2 linked regions of the Pelodiscus sinensis genome follow. The protein of the gene in region 1 purifies or fractionates together with the protein of each later gene. This does not show direct contact. Links are inferred from orthologs where the notes say so. Each region holds a gene or a part of one and is shown on either strand. Other genes may lie near its edges.

Region 1 (7,245 bases):
ACTGACCGGTTCTGTCCTATTGCAGTGGTCAGGGCAGTGGTTGGGGGTGTGTGTGATAGGACAGCACCTGGTGGAAATGTGTGGGATCGAGTGCCAGGGGTTCAAGGCAGGGAGCTGGAGCGTGAGTGGGGGGCACTCATTGCAGGGGGTGGGAGCTGTGCAGTGCTTGGGGGTGGGTGGGTGGGTGCAGGAGTCAAGCGAGAGCTGTGGGGGTTCAGGGCAGAGAGTTGTGGGGTGGGGGCTTCAGGGATTGGGATTGGGGGGACCCAGGGCTGGGTGTGCATTTCCTGTACTGCAGGACAATGGGTCCCCGGGGCTGCCCAACTGCTTGGGTGCCAGGCTGGCTGGGACAGAGGAACTAGGGATGTGAAGGACTAGTCACTTCCCACCCCCTTGCTGCATCTCTCCGAGGCAGCAAAGGGGGGAAAAAGAGGGGGTGCTTCACAGTGGCAGCACCGCACGGGCTCTGGGACCAGACCCCGGGCTCCACACGGTGCTGCCACTTTGAAACACTGCGTGAAGCCCGGGGCCAGCTGGAGACTGCCTCACTAGCCCCTGCTCCCCGCAGCGCTTTCTCATTTGACGCGTAGCAGCAGCCCAGGGACTGTTGCCTCTCTTCACAGGCGGAGGCGCCTATCGGCTAATCGAATATATGATGCAAACTGCACCGACTATTCGATTAGCCCATTCATCTAAATTGTACATCCAGAGCCCTGCCCCCAGCCAGCCCGTCTCAGTGTGTCACTCCGGGGCATGCCAGCTTGCTTCCAACTTTGCTGGCACCCATTCTGTGCTGGGCCTGTACCCCCTCTGGCCCAGCCAGGACCCCCATCCTGGGCTCCTCGGGAAGATGTGTCTCGGCTGCCTGGCCTGGGGGTTCCAGATGGATCAGCACTCTGCCTGGACTGTGACCTCCCCAGCAACACCTGGCTGTAAGGCAGCCTGCTGTCCACTCCTCAGTGACAGGAACCCCTGTAAGTGCCCCCCCTCCCCAGCTGCTTCTGTCGGGCCATTACTGCGAAGGTAACAGCGTTACCAGGAACACCCCCCCCCCTCCCCCACTGCCTGCCAGCAAACCTGCCTCTGACCAGGGAAGTCGTTCAAACACCACCTGCAGGTTTTCCTCGTGCTCCGGACAAGAACCAGCTAACTCCTTCCTGAGCGGGTCTCCAAAGTGCTCTGTACAAGGTAAGCAGCAGACTGGGGTCCTGTCCCCGCCCAACCCCTGGAGGGTGTAACTTCAAAAGCTGAGCCCCGCGTGGGAGTTTGCAATCTGCCCCCGAAGTCCAATTCACTCGAATTGTCTCCACGATGAGTTATGTCTGTGTCGGCGTGTGAGCGATACTCCAGTACTTGTCGGAGGTGGCATGAATCCTGTCTTCCAGGTGTTTCCAGGTCACCCCACAGTAACGCTTCCATTGGTAGTACAATGAACTGCCAAAATGCTGCAACTTTGAATTCAGCATGGCTTGTGCTGGGTGTTACAAGTATTTGTCATAGCAGCTTGTTCTGACCTGCTCAGGAGGCAGAGAATGCCGCACAAACCTTTGCTTCAAATGGGGAGTGAGGCTCAACAGTGGCTCACACATGTTCTGGTCTGTGACGGGGCTCGTGGGACCACAGCTCGTGGGAGACGTGGCCTGGAGGAAGTGACAGATACGTCCCCTCTGCTCTCACTTGGGGCTTGTGCACATGGAGAATGGCAGTGGGAGATAAGGGGTGAACAGATAGCTGCACGGGTGTAACTGTTGTGTGCACTCACCAGACTGGCCGGGGGGCTGGCGTGTCGCTTGAGTGGAGTGTTACTCTCCCATACTGCCGGACGTGCCCGTGGAGGGGCTGTGCGAGTTTACCACAACATTCCAGAAGAGTTAAAACAGGTTGAGCTGCTCTGCCAAGCCACATACAAGCTGCACCCTGCCAGGGGCCCAGAAGAAGGGACAGTAACAAGGTACCCAGCAGCAGTGTGTTGGGACTGGTACCGGGAGCGGCGAAATTATGTTCATGGCTTTTTCTGAGGGGTGGGGGAGGGCTTGCCTGTCAATACAATTGAGCAGGCCAATTCCTGGTGGAGAGAAGCCACCTGCGCCCTACAGGGAGGGAAGGAGGCCATGCTTAGTCCCAGTATTTGGCTGTGATTTCTAACCCTTGTGCACAGAGACGCTGCAACAAGCCTATGACAAAGCCCGGGGCAACAGGCTCTTCAGTACAGGTGAGCTGAGGTGGGTCAAACACAAACCAGCACCCGTTGGCTTGGGGAGAGGAGGAAGGTGTACTCAGAACAAGGTTGAGGAATGTTTTTTGGCCAAGGGCCAGTGACACACAGAAAAGTCAACTTGGGGCCACACACAAGAATAAAAAAACCTGTCTCTCACTCTCACTTAATTCAGTGTGCTTTGTGGGCACCAGCCCAGTGTGGGCACCCGAGGCTGGGGGCTGCCTGCCTGCTGTGGGTTGGATCAGATTAAGCTGGGGGGCTAGATCCAGCTCCCACCCAACTTTGAAACCACTTCAGCTGCTACATTTCTAAATGGTTCTGCATTCTCCAGAGCATGTCTCTGCCTCTCCTGTACTCATGCAAGCCAGTTCCTAAGGGGCAGTGGATCTGACTGTCAGTTCCAGTTTCGCATTGGGCTGAAGAAATGACTGTTGCAGTGTTTGCCACAATGTTGCTCAACTGTCACTCCTTCTGGTGTAAAACAGGATGTCTGTCTCTTGCACAGACTGCGCAAGGCTTCTGTGCTAGTATGTGGTGCTATAGTTGCCTAACTCTGATAAGTGTCTTCCTCTTTCACGTAAGTCTCCACCTCTTACTGTAACATAAGTGATGCTAAGGGTATTTTTGGGCTATCAGGAGCAGGCAGCCTAGACCGATTTCAAATGTAGCTTGCACAATGAGCGGGAATGTGCATTCAGTGGTGTAAAACAATTATGTCCTGGCTTGTGCAGCATTTAGCACCAAGCAGCTGCTGTATTTAGCATTCACAATGAAGCAGAAGGCAACATAAGGCTATGATTGGTGCAGATTTCAAAACTGTTTAGCAAGGGCGTTTTTGAAGTATGGTGGAATCTGGACTGTCTGGTTCTGGTCAAGAAATACTCGCTCCCCGCACCCTGGGGTGTGCAACGCATTTCATGGGTGCTCTTTTAGGAACGTGACTTGAAGTGGAACAGACCCGAGTCAGTTTAGTCCAGATTCTCTTACACCAGCCACACTGCAGAGACCCCCCCCCGCAGGATGTTTATGGCACAAGCAGCCCGCCAGGGAAATGCAGGACGGGAGAGTTCCGAGTGATCCCGGCAACCCCCGGCCAGACAGCCTGGGCCCTGGGGAGCGGGGCGAGGACGCGGGTGGGCAAGGCCTGGCCCGCGGGCCGCAACCCGTCTGGCCCGCGGGCCGCATTCAGCTACCGGCCCCGAGCGGCGGGGTCGCGCCCCTGCCGCAAAGGCAGCACTCGCCGGACGTAACGTCACGGCGGGGCGAGGGCAACGATGGGGGAGGGGCAGGACGAATGGGGTTTGCGGGAAGGATCCGGCGCCCTGGGGACGGGCCCGGAAACGATCTGGGACCACCGGGGGGGGGGGGGGGGCTGCCTCTCTCCACCCACATGGCACAGGCTGAGGCGGGTAACGCGGCTGCGCAGAGAGGCGCCGCCCTCGGGCGGGTAACGCGGCTGCGCGGTGAGGCGCCGCCCTCGGGCGGGTAACGCGGCTGCGCGGTGAGGCGGAGGCACAGACTTTGCGCCTCCTAGCGGCGCAGCCTCTAACTAGGAGCCAAACGGCTTCTTACCGTTGATATGTAAATTAGCCTCTCTGCTTCTGGAAGGGGAACTTGCCCCCCGCCCCGCCCCGCCCCGCCCCGCCCCTTCCCTTTCGCGCCCTTCAGCCCCGGCGGCGCCACAGGGAGCCGGCCGAATGCCCAGGCCGGGCAGCGCCACAGCGCACGTTAATGCGCATGCTCAGGGCTAGAAGAGCCGCCCGGGCGGAGGGCACTGCGCATGCGCCCGGCAGGCCGGATATCCGCCGCGGGGGGTGGGCGGTGCTGCGCGCACGAATATGGCGACGGAGTTGGAGAGCGGCGGGGGCTCGATGCCGGATGTCGGGGCCCAGCGGGCAGAGCTGGGGCCGCTGCTGGGCATGGCGCTGCGGCCGGGCGAGTCTTGGTGAGGGGGGCTGGAGAGGGGAAGCCTGGGGCCGGGGAGCGGAGCTGGGGGGGGGGAGGTTGGAGAGCGAGCCTGGGGCCGGGGAGCGGAGCTGGGGGGGGGGAGGTTGGAGAGCGAGCCTGGGGCCGGGGAGCGGAGCTGGGGGGGGGGAGGTTGGAGAGCGAGCCTGGGGCCGGGGAGCGGAGCTGGGGGGGGGGGAGGTTGGAGAGCGAGCCTGGGGCCGGGGAGCGGAGCTGGGGGGTGGGGGGAGGTTGGGGAGCGAGCCTGGGGCCGGGGAGCGGAGCTGGGGGGGGGGGAGGTTGGAGAGCGAGCCTGGGGCCGGGGAGCGGAGCTGGGGGGGGGGAGGTTGGGGAGCGAGCCTGGGGCCGGGGAGCGGAGCTGGGGGGGGGGGAGGTTGGGGAGCGAGCCTGGGGCCGGGGAGCGGAGCTGGGGGGGGGGGAGGTTGGAGAGCGAGCCTGGGGCCCGGGAGCGGAGCTGGGGGGGGGGGAGGTTGGAGAGCGAGCCTGGGGCCGGGGAGCGGAGCTGGGGGGGGGGGAGGTTGGGGAGCGAGCCTGGGGCCGGGGAGCGGAGCTGGGGGGGGGGGAGGTTGGGGAGCGAGCCTGGGGCCGGGGAGCGGAGCTGGGGGGGGGGGAGGTTGGAGAGCGAGCCTGGGGCCGGGGAGCGGAGCTGGGGGGTGGGGGGAGGTTGGGGAGCGAGCCTGGGGCCGGGGAGCGGAGCTGGGGGGGCGGGGGGAGGTTGGGGAGCGAGCCTGGGGCCGGGGAGCGGAGCTGGGGGGGCGGGGGGAGGTTGGGGAGCGAGCCTGGGGCCCGGGAGCGGAACTGGGGGGGGGGAGGTTGGGGAGCGAGCCTGGGGCCGGGGAGCGGAGCTGGGGGGGGGGGGAGGTTGGGGAGCGAGCCTGGGGCCGGGGAGCGGAGCTGGGGGGGGGGGAGGTTGGGGAGCGAGCCTGGGGCCGGGGAGCGGAGCTGGGGGGGGGGGAGGTTGGGGAGCGAGCCTGGGGCCGGGGAGCGGAGCTGGGGGGGGGGGAGGTTGGAGAGCGAGCCTGGGGCCCGGGAGCGGAACTGGGGGGGGGGAGGTTGGAGAGCGAGCCTGGGGCCCGGGAGCGGAACTGGGGGGGGGGAGGTTGGAGAGCGAGCCTGGGGCCGGGGAGCGGAGCTGGGGAGGGGGGAGGTTGGAGAGCGAGCCTGGGGCCGGGGAGCGGAGCTGGGGAGGGGGGAGGTTGGAGAGCGAGCCTGGGGCCGGGGAGCGGAGCTGGGGGGGGGGAGGTTGGAGAGCGAGCCTGGGGCCCGGGAGCGGAACTGGGGGGGGGGAGGTTGGAGAGCGAGCCTGGGGCCCGGGAGCGGAGCTGGGGGGAGGTTGGAGAGCGAGCCTGGGGCCGGGGAGCGGAGCTGGGGGGGGGAGGTTGGAGAGCGAGCCTGGGGCCGGGGAGCGGAGCTGGGGGGGGGGAGGTTGGGGAGCGAGCCTGGGGCCGGGGAGCGGAGCTGGGGGGGGGGGAGGTTGGAGAGCGAGCCTGGGGCCGGGGAGCGGAGCTGGGGGGGGGGGAGGTTGGAGAGCGAGCCTGGGGCCGGGGAGCGGAGCTGGGGGGGGGGGAGGTTGGAGAGCGAGCCTGGGGCCGGGGAGCGGAGCGGGGGGGGGAGGTTGGGGAGCGAGCCTGGGGCCGGGGAGCGGAGCTGGGGGGGGGAGGTTGGGGAGCGAGCCTGGGGCCCGGGAGCGGAGCTGGGGGGGGGGAGGTTGGGGAGCGAGCCTGGGGCCGGGGAGCGGAGCTGGGGGGGGGAGGTTGGGGAGCGAGCCTGGGGCCGGGGAGCGGAGCTGGGGGGGGGGAGGTTGGAGAGCGAGCCTGGGGCCGGGGAGCGGAGCTGGGGGGGGGGAGGTTGGAGAGCGAGCCTGGGGCCGGGGAGCGGAGCTGGGGGGGGGGGAGGTTGGGGAGCGAGCCTGGGGCCGGGGAGCGGAGCTGGGGGGGGGGGAGGTTGGGGAGCGAGCCTGGGGCCGGGGAGCGGAGCTGGGGGGGGGGGGAGGTTGGGGAGCGAGCCTGGGGCCGGGGAGCGGAGCTGGGGGGGGGGAGGTTGGGGAGCGAGCCTGGGGCCGGGGAGCGGAGCTGGGGGGGGGAGGGTGGAGAGCGAGCCTGGGGCCCGGGAGCGGAACTGGGGGGGGGGAGGTTGGAGAGCGAGCCTGGGGCCGGGGAGCGGAGCTGGGGGGGGGGAGGTTGGGGAGCGAGCCTGGGGCCCGGGAGCGGAGGTGGGGGGAGGTTGGAGAGCGAGCCTGGGGCCCGGGAGCGGAACTGGGGGGGGGGGGGAGGTTGGAGAGCGAGCCTGGGGCCGGGGAGCGGAGCTGGGGGGGGGGAGGTTGGGGAGCGAGCCTGGGGCCCGGGAGCGGAGGTGGGGGGAGGTTGGAGAGCGAGCCTGGGGCCCGGGAGCGGAGCTGGGGGGTGGGGGGAGGTTGGAGAGCGAGCCTGGGGCCGGGGAGCGGAGCTGGGGGGGCGGGGGGAGGTTGGAGAGCGAGCCTGGGGCCCGGGAGCGGAGGTGGGGGGAGGTTGGAGAGCGAGCCTGGGGCCCGGGAGCGGAGCTGGGGGGCGGGGGGAGGTTGGAGAGCGAGCCTGGGGCCGGGGAGCGGAGCTGGGGGGGCGGGGGGAGGTTGGAGAGCGAGCCTGGGGCCGGGGAGCGGAGCTGGGGGGGGGGAGGTTGGAGAGCGAGCCTGGGGCTGGGGAGCGGAGCTGGGCCAGGCTGAGTGGCACTGCTGGTGCTTTCAGGCCTCTGGCATGTGGCTCTGTGTCCTGCTGTAAGAGTGGAGCCAGTGGCTGAGTAAGGCGGGTCTCAGCTCCTGGCTGACACCCTGTACTCCTGGCCTGGGCTTTGCCTGCTTAAGGGGCTGAGTCACCAGTGGTGGAGCCTCAGAAAGATGGGTTGCAGGGCAGGTTTCTGATGGCACATTTCAGGTGGATAGAGAAGGCCAATTCAACTGTTCAGTGCCTCATAAAACTTAGGGCTTTTCTACCCTTAAAATGCTGTGGTGGTCCAGCTGCTTTGCTATAGTGCTTCAGTGTAGACATGCTACCCATGCTTTTGAGAGGGTTTTTGTGCAGAGGGCC
Region 2 (7,850 bases), on another chromosome or scaffold:
CCATGTCTAAGCATGGTTGTAATCAAACAGTGTGAGAACATGATATAGATGAGAACATGTTGTGAACATGGTAGAAGTCTCCTTGCTTAGCATGTTGTAAAATTGGACTTCCAAACTGCTAGGCTGAGTGACTGGCCTCAGCCTAAAGATGGACCTTCTCTTATTGCTATTGAGATCTAAGCCTTCTATTGAGATTGATGCCTGTCTTTGACTCACTGTGATGACAGATACATTCCTCTAGTGCCTGAAGGAGTCTCTATGCTCCTATAGAACAATTAAAAAAACCAGCTCCCCATGCAGACTGCCTGCCTGCTGCCCCACACTGCTGTCTGATACAGACGCAGCAGTGCGGGGTGGCAGCAACCCCTGTCCTCGGGTCTGAGCTCCCTATGGACAGAGGCTGCTGCGGGGAGGCTGCCAAGGAGCAGCCTGTGTGCATGGCAGCCCATGTCAATGAGCTATAGCTGTGCAGTTTAAATGTACTAAGAGCCAGGCGCACAGGCAGCCTGGCTCCTGCCACATTAAAACTGCAGAGCTGCACTGGGGGTAGGTCCAGGGTAGGTCCCCCACTGTGGCTCTGTCTTTTAAGTGTAGTAAGAGCCAGGCAGCTCTCAATACCCTTAAAAAGCAGAGCCGCAGCAGGCTGGGATAGAGGCGGGAGAGGTGGAGCGAGTAGGCAAGTAGTGACTCGACTACCCAAGTAGTCACTTACATCCCTACTTCGAATACAGCGCTGCAATGGCACAGGTACCTCAGTGCAGCTGTAGTGCTTTAGTGAAGATGCTACTATGCTGATGGAAAAGCTTCTCTAGTTAGCAGAGTTAATCCACCTCTGTGAGAAGCGGTAGCTAGATCAGCAGGAGATGCTCTCCCATTGACTAAACACAGTCTATACAGGGAGGCGAGGTTAGATTGATATTACTTATATTGTTCTGACATTGTGGATTTTTCATACCCCTGAGCAATGGACTTATATCAATATAAGTTTTTAGTGTAGGCTGGTCCTGATTTTGTTCCTACATGCCTGTGCTATTCTTTTGTACTCCTTCTTAGCAACTTGTCTCCACTTCTGGCAGTCAGGAAACGTAGTTCCCAGTTCTTAACTCTTATTCTGTTAAAAGATGTGGGAAACGATTGAAAGCCACTACCTGAACTTTGGTAGTAGTCCCATTGTAAGAGAAGGGGAATGAAAGTTGACATGGCAAGTAACGCTACTGAAGGGCACTGCTCAGTATGGGGAAAGACAGAGTCCTGCTTGTTTATAACGGACAGCTTGGCCACAGTTATGTCGTTCAGACCGTTTCCATGAATAACTTTGCAGAGGAATGCAGCTGAAACAGATTGCTTGCATTCAGTGACATGTATGGAAAGCAGCCTTATTGAGGTCTTCATGTAGCTGAGTCTGTTTACTTATAAAATGCGTCATGTTGTGGGTAAAAGGTTCCTCAACTCTATGGTGATGCAATAGGAGTCTATTGCCTGCAGTAATGTCTAGATCAGACTTCCATGTACCTTCCCTAATCTCTGCACCACTGTCCTCTTCTGAATAGCACGTCTGAGCCTGCAGCCTATAGAGAGGAGAGCGTGGAGGAAGCTGCCACAGTCCTACTAATCCATTTTTCTCACAGCTACCAGATAGTTTAATAGCAACGTTTTAAAGGGATTTGATTTTCCTCCATCTATTTCTCAATGTGCCAAGCGCAGCAACATAGAAGACAAACCCCAAAATGAGGCCCAGGGAATAACGTTTTATATCGGGAACGTGAAAATTATGGGGGGCGGGATTTCTCTAGCTGAAGTCTCCCTTTGTTTTCTCACTTGATGTTTCTGACATTAATGATTTATAGAAATAAACAGTTTAGAACACATCAGGGTTGCAGACAAATCTGAATCTGGAAAAGGAGCATCATCTGTAATGAGAGGCAGTTGGGAAGGGTTACTTTTGTCGCTGTTTAATAAATTATGCCTACTGTGCTGAAATCCTCTATTGGTGCCATTCGTTGGGAGGGAGTGTGGATAAATGTTTGGAGCAGAGGGCGGAAAGATGGGACTTCTAGATTCTATTCCCGCTGTCCTGTGTGGACAATTGACTTCACGGTATGTAGACTTAACAAATGAATATTTGTTAAAATCTTTGTTGTGCTCAAATGTAAGGCCGTAGAGGAATTCAAAATGACATTGATTAATCTCCTCAGAATTCTAACGATGGATGGGATCATTGAAGATGCCAGACGGCGCCGGTACTATGAGAAACCATGTCGCAAGAGGCAGCGGGAGACCTATGAGACATGCCGGCGGATTTATAATGCAGAAATGGCCAGGAAGATTGGCTTTCTAATGAGGAAGAATCGACCGGACCCCTGGCTAGGTTCTTAGATCCCAAGAATTACAATAGCTGGGAAAACTGTAACTTCTTTTTAAAACAAACAAGCAAACATAAAACAAAACCCACACCACTGTCATAGCTGATCTCTTCGTTGCTAGTGTCAACTGAGAGGCCAATGAGCGAATGGGCCATGGAGACTGAATTCTCTTCTCCACCAGGGCAGGATTGAAGACCATCATACCATCAAATCTCTCAGCTTCTGAACAATTACTATGTTGTGCCTATCTGTTAATAAAAGTATGCATTTTAGCATGTTGTCCTGCTGTTCTTGGGTGACAGACATAAGCAAACTATATTAATTCAGGTTTTAATATATTTCCTTTTATGAATGATTCCTTTAAATAGTGCTTGCTGCTCATTATAATTAGACCTCTGCAAATCCACAGATATTTGTGGCCTGTTTTTTTGGATTGTGAATGGATACAGATCCAAATGTTGTATCCCTGCAGGGCTCTAATTATAATCTCTTACTTGGCATAGTTTGTGAAAAAAGTGGAAAAAACCTGAGTTAGGTTTGATTTATTCCAGAATAAAGATGCTCACAAATATTTTCATTCACCTTCCCTTTATTTTACGCTTGATTGGCAGCAAATAATGTGGATTCTGGAATTCATATACATCATTTGCAAATTATTTTTAAGACTGTAGGGGCTCACAGCCTTAATTTTATTTATACTGCAGTCCCATTATTCAGCTCTGTAGCGTTAAGAAGCCTTAAAGTGAATGCAAACATATCTATGTCCACTTCGAGGTCCTTTTACATTGCCAAATTGAAAGTAAAAAACTAAAATAAGTCCTTAGATTCCTGGGTGAATAATTCTGCTTCTGTTGTGTTTTACCTTAGTTTTTTTTAGTGGAGTTTCCACTTAATAATCTCCAATTTTTATTAAAGTTCCTCTTAATCATGTGGGGAAATATTGACGTTACCACTGCAGATACAATTTTCACACCCTCCTGTCCCTGTGTCTGGAAATGCTTTCCTCAGTGCAATCTTGTTTCTCACATAGCCATGCTTTTTCTGACAGTTTTACGCATGTGTAGTATCTTATAACACCCTTTACTGTTCATTGTGCGCCATTTTCCACAATTCCCTGTTGTATAAAAATACACAGTAGTTGATCCACCTAATATTAGTTGTCTCCCATGGAAAAATAAAAGGCTTGTCTCCAAGAACCCATCTGAGGCCCTCAAACTTTCAGTGTGGAAAGTATTTAAGTTCTGTTTAAATATCCTTTAATGTGATTTGGCAGCTAGAAATAAGCCAATCCTATGCGACTTAAGTCCTTTGTGGAGTACAGTCAGAGATCCCTTTTACAGAGGCTATGTTTGGATAGCAGTATACAGGCAGTCCCCGACTTACGCGGATCCGACTTATGTCGGATCCGCACTTACGAACGCGGCTTTTCTCACCCCGGAGCTCGCGGGCGGTGGGACCGCCCAGAGCGCAGCGGTCCCGCCACCGCGTCCTCCGGGGCGAGAAAAGCTGCTCCGGGTCTCCCTGGTGTGCTGGGGGGGACTCCACCACGATGGAGTTCTGGCACATTCTGTGATGTGGTAACTGCAGGTGTCAGGTGTACAGAGCGCACTGCACTGACATTTTGGCATGGTGCAATGACATTCTCATCTCCTGCTGCTTGGGGAAGAGACATGGCCAAGAAGACCACAGAAGAAATAAGAAGGTGATTTGATTGATAGCACAACACAGCAAAGTGCTGATTTCACCCAATCCATATCTGACTGGTGCCATGAGGGCAGGCTTCTACCAAACCCCCCGTCTTCTCCTATATGTGTCTGCCTCAGGGGGAAGCTAGAGATCACGAATTCAGCTCAGCCCTGCCTCACTCTCTTCCCCTCCCTACTTAGCCCTGGCAAAAGCTGGGTGCCAGCATCCAATCCTTTGCCCTTTACCTCTTGAATTTGGCTCTTGGAGGGCAATGGGGCCAGGACCCCAGCCCCTTTGAATCCCCCAACCTCCGGCTCCTGGCTGGGCGGGGCAGGGGGGCGGAGGGAGCTAGCTTGTGCCATGAACCCAGCCCCCCTGGATCTTCTGCCCCCCTGGTTTTGGGGCCTGTCCCCCCCCCATCTCCTCCTCCCTCCAGCGCCTGGAACGGGCCCTTGGGGGGGCAGGATCCCAGCCCCCCTGGATCTTCTGCCCCCCGGGGGGGCGGGGCAGGACCCCAGCTGTCCTGGCCCCGCCCACCTCTACCTCCGCGCACCCACGCTACTGCCCAGGCACTAGAGCACGAACGGCATGTGACGTAACACAACTTCCGTTGCTTCCCCCTCTCCTCACCCCTGTCACGTGATACGTGAGCCGCGGGGCTCAGGAGCACGGGGGAGGCGCGTCTTCTCCGTCACGTGACTCCCTCCCCCACCGGGATTGAGGCTCCCGCGTCACGTGCGGGTGCCCGATTCCCCGCGCGGCCGCCTCGCTCGGGGCCGTTTCCGCTTCCGCCCCAACGTTCCGTCTCCGTCAGTCGACGCAGCCAGGCCGCCGCGGCGGGGCGCGGAAGTTTCGGGCCGGGGCCGGGGCCGGGCGGCGCTGAGGTGAGGCCGCGCGGGCGGCGGGGCGCGGGCAGGCCGCGGGGCTGGCGGCGGGGCGCGGGCGCGTGCTCCGGGGCTCGAGGGCTGAGTAGGCCTCGTGTGCGCGCGCGGAGGCCCGCGTGCCCCGGGGAAGGACCCGCACGGGCCCCCCCGTGCTCCTGTGGCCGTGATAGCGAGCCCCGCGCACTGGGGGAGGGGGAGCTCCCCGTCTCTGCGCCCCCCCATATTCCTGTGGAACTGACGGGCCCTCCTGCGCGGGGAAAGGGGGGAGCTCCCGGCCCCCCCCATTCCTGTGGCAGCCACGGGCCCCCATGGCCTGGGACGTGGGCACTCCCAGCCTGCTCCCCCATGTCCTGTGGCGAGGACAGCAGCCCCCTTTTAATGGGGACCAGGGAACGGCCCCTCCCCCCGCTGGCCAGGGGGTTCTCCGCTCTGCCTGTCCGGCTACGTTGGTAAACGATCTTCTGGGCAGTGCAGGGAACCTTCCTCATGTGGCTTTCCTCGCCCTCTTCTTTGTCATCATGTGGGAAGGTTGCATCCTTCCCAACCATCTTCCCCTTCGCCCCAAGGCGGGAGAGCTCCACACACTCTAGTGCCCTGTATGTGTGGCACTGTGCTGTGTGCTCTGGCTTGGAGCATCGCTGGTAATCCAGTCTCATCACTGTGTTCCTTTCCCCGCCTCTGTGCTCCTGTTGGTGACTGATAGCAAGTGAATTAGCCCTATGTTTTAAGTTAAAACATCTCAATGAATGGTTCAGGGAATCTCCAAAGTCTTTGAGCAGACTCAGTTTTTGTGCATCTACCTCAAAATAAACAATCTCCAGCTCTTCTAGAATGCCAGTATTATTTTAGCTCAGATCAGGGAGCATTCAGATGTGCACGCTTTATTTCTGTTGTGCGTACCCATTCTTTAGAGGGCAGGCAACTGGGAGTTAAGGCTCCTGGTTTCTGATCTCAGCTTTGCTGCCCATGCTGTTAGACTGACTCACACAAGTGAAGTTGACTTGTCTCAAGATTCCTCATTTAAAAAATTAGATACTGCTGACTTGTTTCACGCAAGTATGGTGATTAAAGAAAAAAAAAACAGTGCGGTGCTTTGGAGAGAAAGTGCTATATAAAGAGTTGTTTTTCTCCAGCATCTAGCCTAGAAATAAGACCTGGAGTGGCTCTTTTTTCAAAATAAATTCGACTTGGATGGCAGTCCCATCAATCTGTCAGTGATGGTTTCCTCAAGAGGGATTGTTGCCATTTATAATGTCGCTTCTCTATGCATCATAGGCAAATACACACTATTAAAAGAGGTTGTATTAGGTTTGATTATCTTCTGGATACTTCATGTAACACCAGTGCCTTTTTAGGGAGGATAATAGTATGGTGAGTACACAAGACGGAAGGGTTACCAACAAAAACTGAGCAGCAGGTGTAAACCATAAGTTCTTCACACAATGCTCAGTCAATCATGCATCATAATCAGGACTCGTGCCTCCCATTTTCCATCTAACCATTAGATTGTGCTGCTTCCCTTGCTGACCTGACAAAGGTACACACACAATGGTGGAGTGGCATGTCTCACATTTATTTTCATTCTGGGTACATTTTTTTATCCACCAACAGAAAAAGGTGTCTGTGTGGGTTTTAACCTTTGCCAGTGTGCAAATGAGTTTTATAACTAAGGTAAGAATTGTCCGCCCAAAATGTTACATGTGTACTAGGTTGCTTCTCAGAAAGAAGTAGTTGGGGTGGTTGTGCGGAGGGGCGAGGGGCACGCTTGTCTTATGTGCACAATTTTCAGTTGCAGAACTTGGTATAATTTTCCACTCATGTATGAGAGCGCTTAACTTATTTCTAGGGCTGTAATTTTTTACAGTGCAAATATTTATATTAAACTGAGACAGTATTTTTCAATTATCCCTAAAGCATATTCTGTAATGCAGTCACTTTATCCAGAAAGTGGAACTTACAAATGTTAGAATTATGTACTCCCCCCCCCCAAAAAAAAACTGTATTCAAAAATAAAACAGTGTGAAACTTTAGAGCCTAAAAGTCCACTCAGTCCTACTTCTTGTTCAGCCAATCACTTAGACAAATAAATTTGTTTACAATTTGCAGGAGATAATGCTGCCCACTTCTTGTTTATAATGTTACCTGAAAGTGAGAACAGCCCTGTGATGGGTCTTTCCCTGTCCATTTTATGAACATTGGCTTATGAATATAAATGTGCATAACTTGGGGATGCTTTGAACAAAATGCTTCATGTAGCTTATCAGTTTTAATTTTGCCATCTTCTGGATCTGTATGTTGTATTTTGGTGAATGCATCATTCTTGTATGAGACCATCGTAGGGTAGTGGTGGTTGAAGACTTGCTTCTGAGCGGGATGAAGTTGACCATCTGTCACTCTGACATCTCATCTCAGGAGGTATGCTGCCTGCCAGGGGCCCATATCTGAGACATTACAGAGGCATTGTCGAGAATTATTGGCCCTCTGACTACTACCCCATGCTGCTCATCCATGTGGGCACTAATGTTACTGTAAGGTGTGACACTGAGCAGATCAAGAGTGACTACAAGGTTTTGGGAGTATGGATGAAGGTATTTGGAGCACAGGTGATATTCTCTTCAGTCCTTCCTGTCAAAGGTAGGGGCCCAGGAAGAGAGAGGTGCATCCTGGAGGTGAATGCCTGGCTGCAAAGATGGTGTTGCCAGGAGGGCTTTGGCTTCCTTGACCATGGGATGCTGTTCCAGAAAGGACTGCTAAGCAGAGATGGGGTTCACCTGTTGAGGAAGGGGAAGACCATAATTGGATGCAGACTGGCTAACCTAGTGAGGAGGGTTTTAAACTAGGTTTGACGGGGGCAGGTGACCAAAACCCACAGGTAAGTAAAGAACATGGAGACCTGGGAGATGGGTCGGAAATGGGA

What was found. Proteins that work in one complex are often made in the same cells at the same time.
Region 2: the proteins of USP4 (region 1) and PRPF3 purify together in Homo sapiens (co-immunoprecipitation; 4 studies listed by BioGRID and IntAct, with this or other methods). This does not show direct contact. The link is inferred for Pelodiscus sinensis from reciprocal best matches to the Homo sapiens genes USP4 and PRPF3.

The regions. Positions count from the first base shown.
Region 1 is NC_134721.1:46,560,282-46,567,526, forward strand, and holds the start of USP4 (ubiquitin carboxyl-terminal hydrolase 4), read left to right. Parts: upstream 1-4,007; 5' UTR 4,008-4,056; coding exon 4,057-4,163; intron 4,164-7,245.
Region 2 is NC_134734.1:21,135,202-21,143,051, forward strand, and holds the start of PRPF3 (U4/U6 small nuclear ribonucleoprotein Prp3), read left to right. Parts: upstream 1-4,776; 5' UTR 4,777-4,933; intron 4,934-7,850. Other genes in the region: MRPS21 (small ribosomal subunit protein bS21m), read left to right, coding at 2,196-2,376. UniProt on the Homo sapiens protein: Plays a role in pre-mRNA splicing as component of the U4/U6-U5 tri-snRNP complex that is involved in spliceosome assembly, and as component of the precatalytic spliceosome (spliceosome B complex).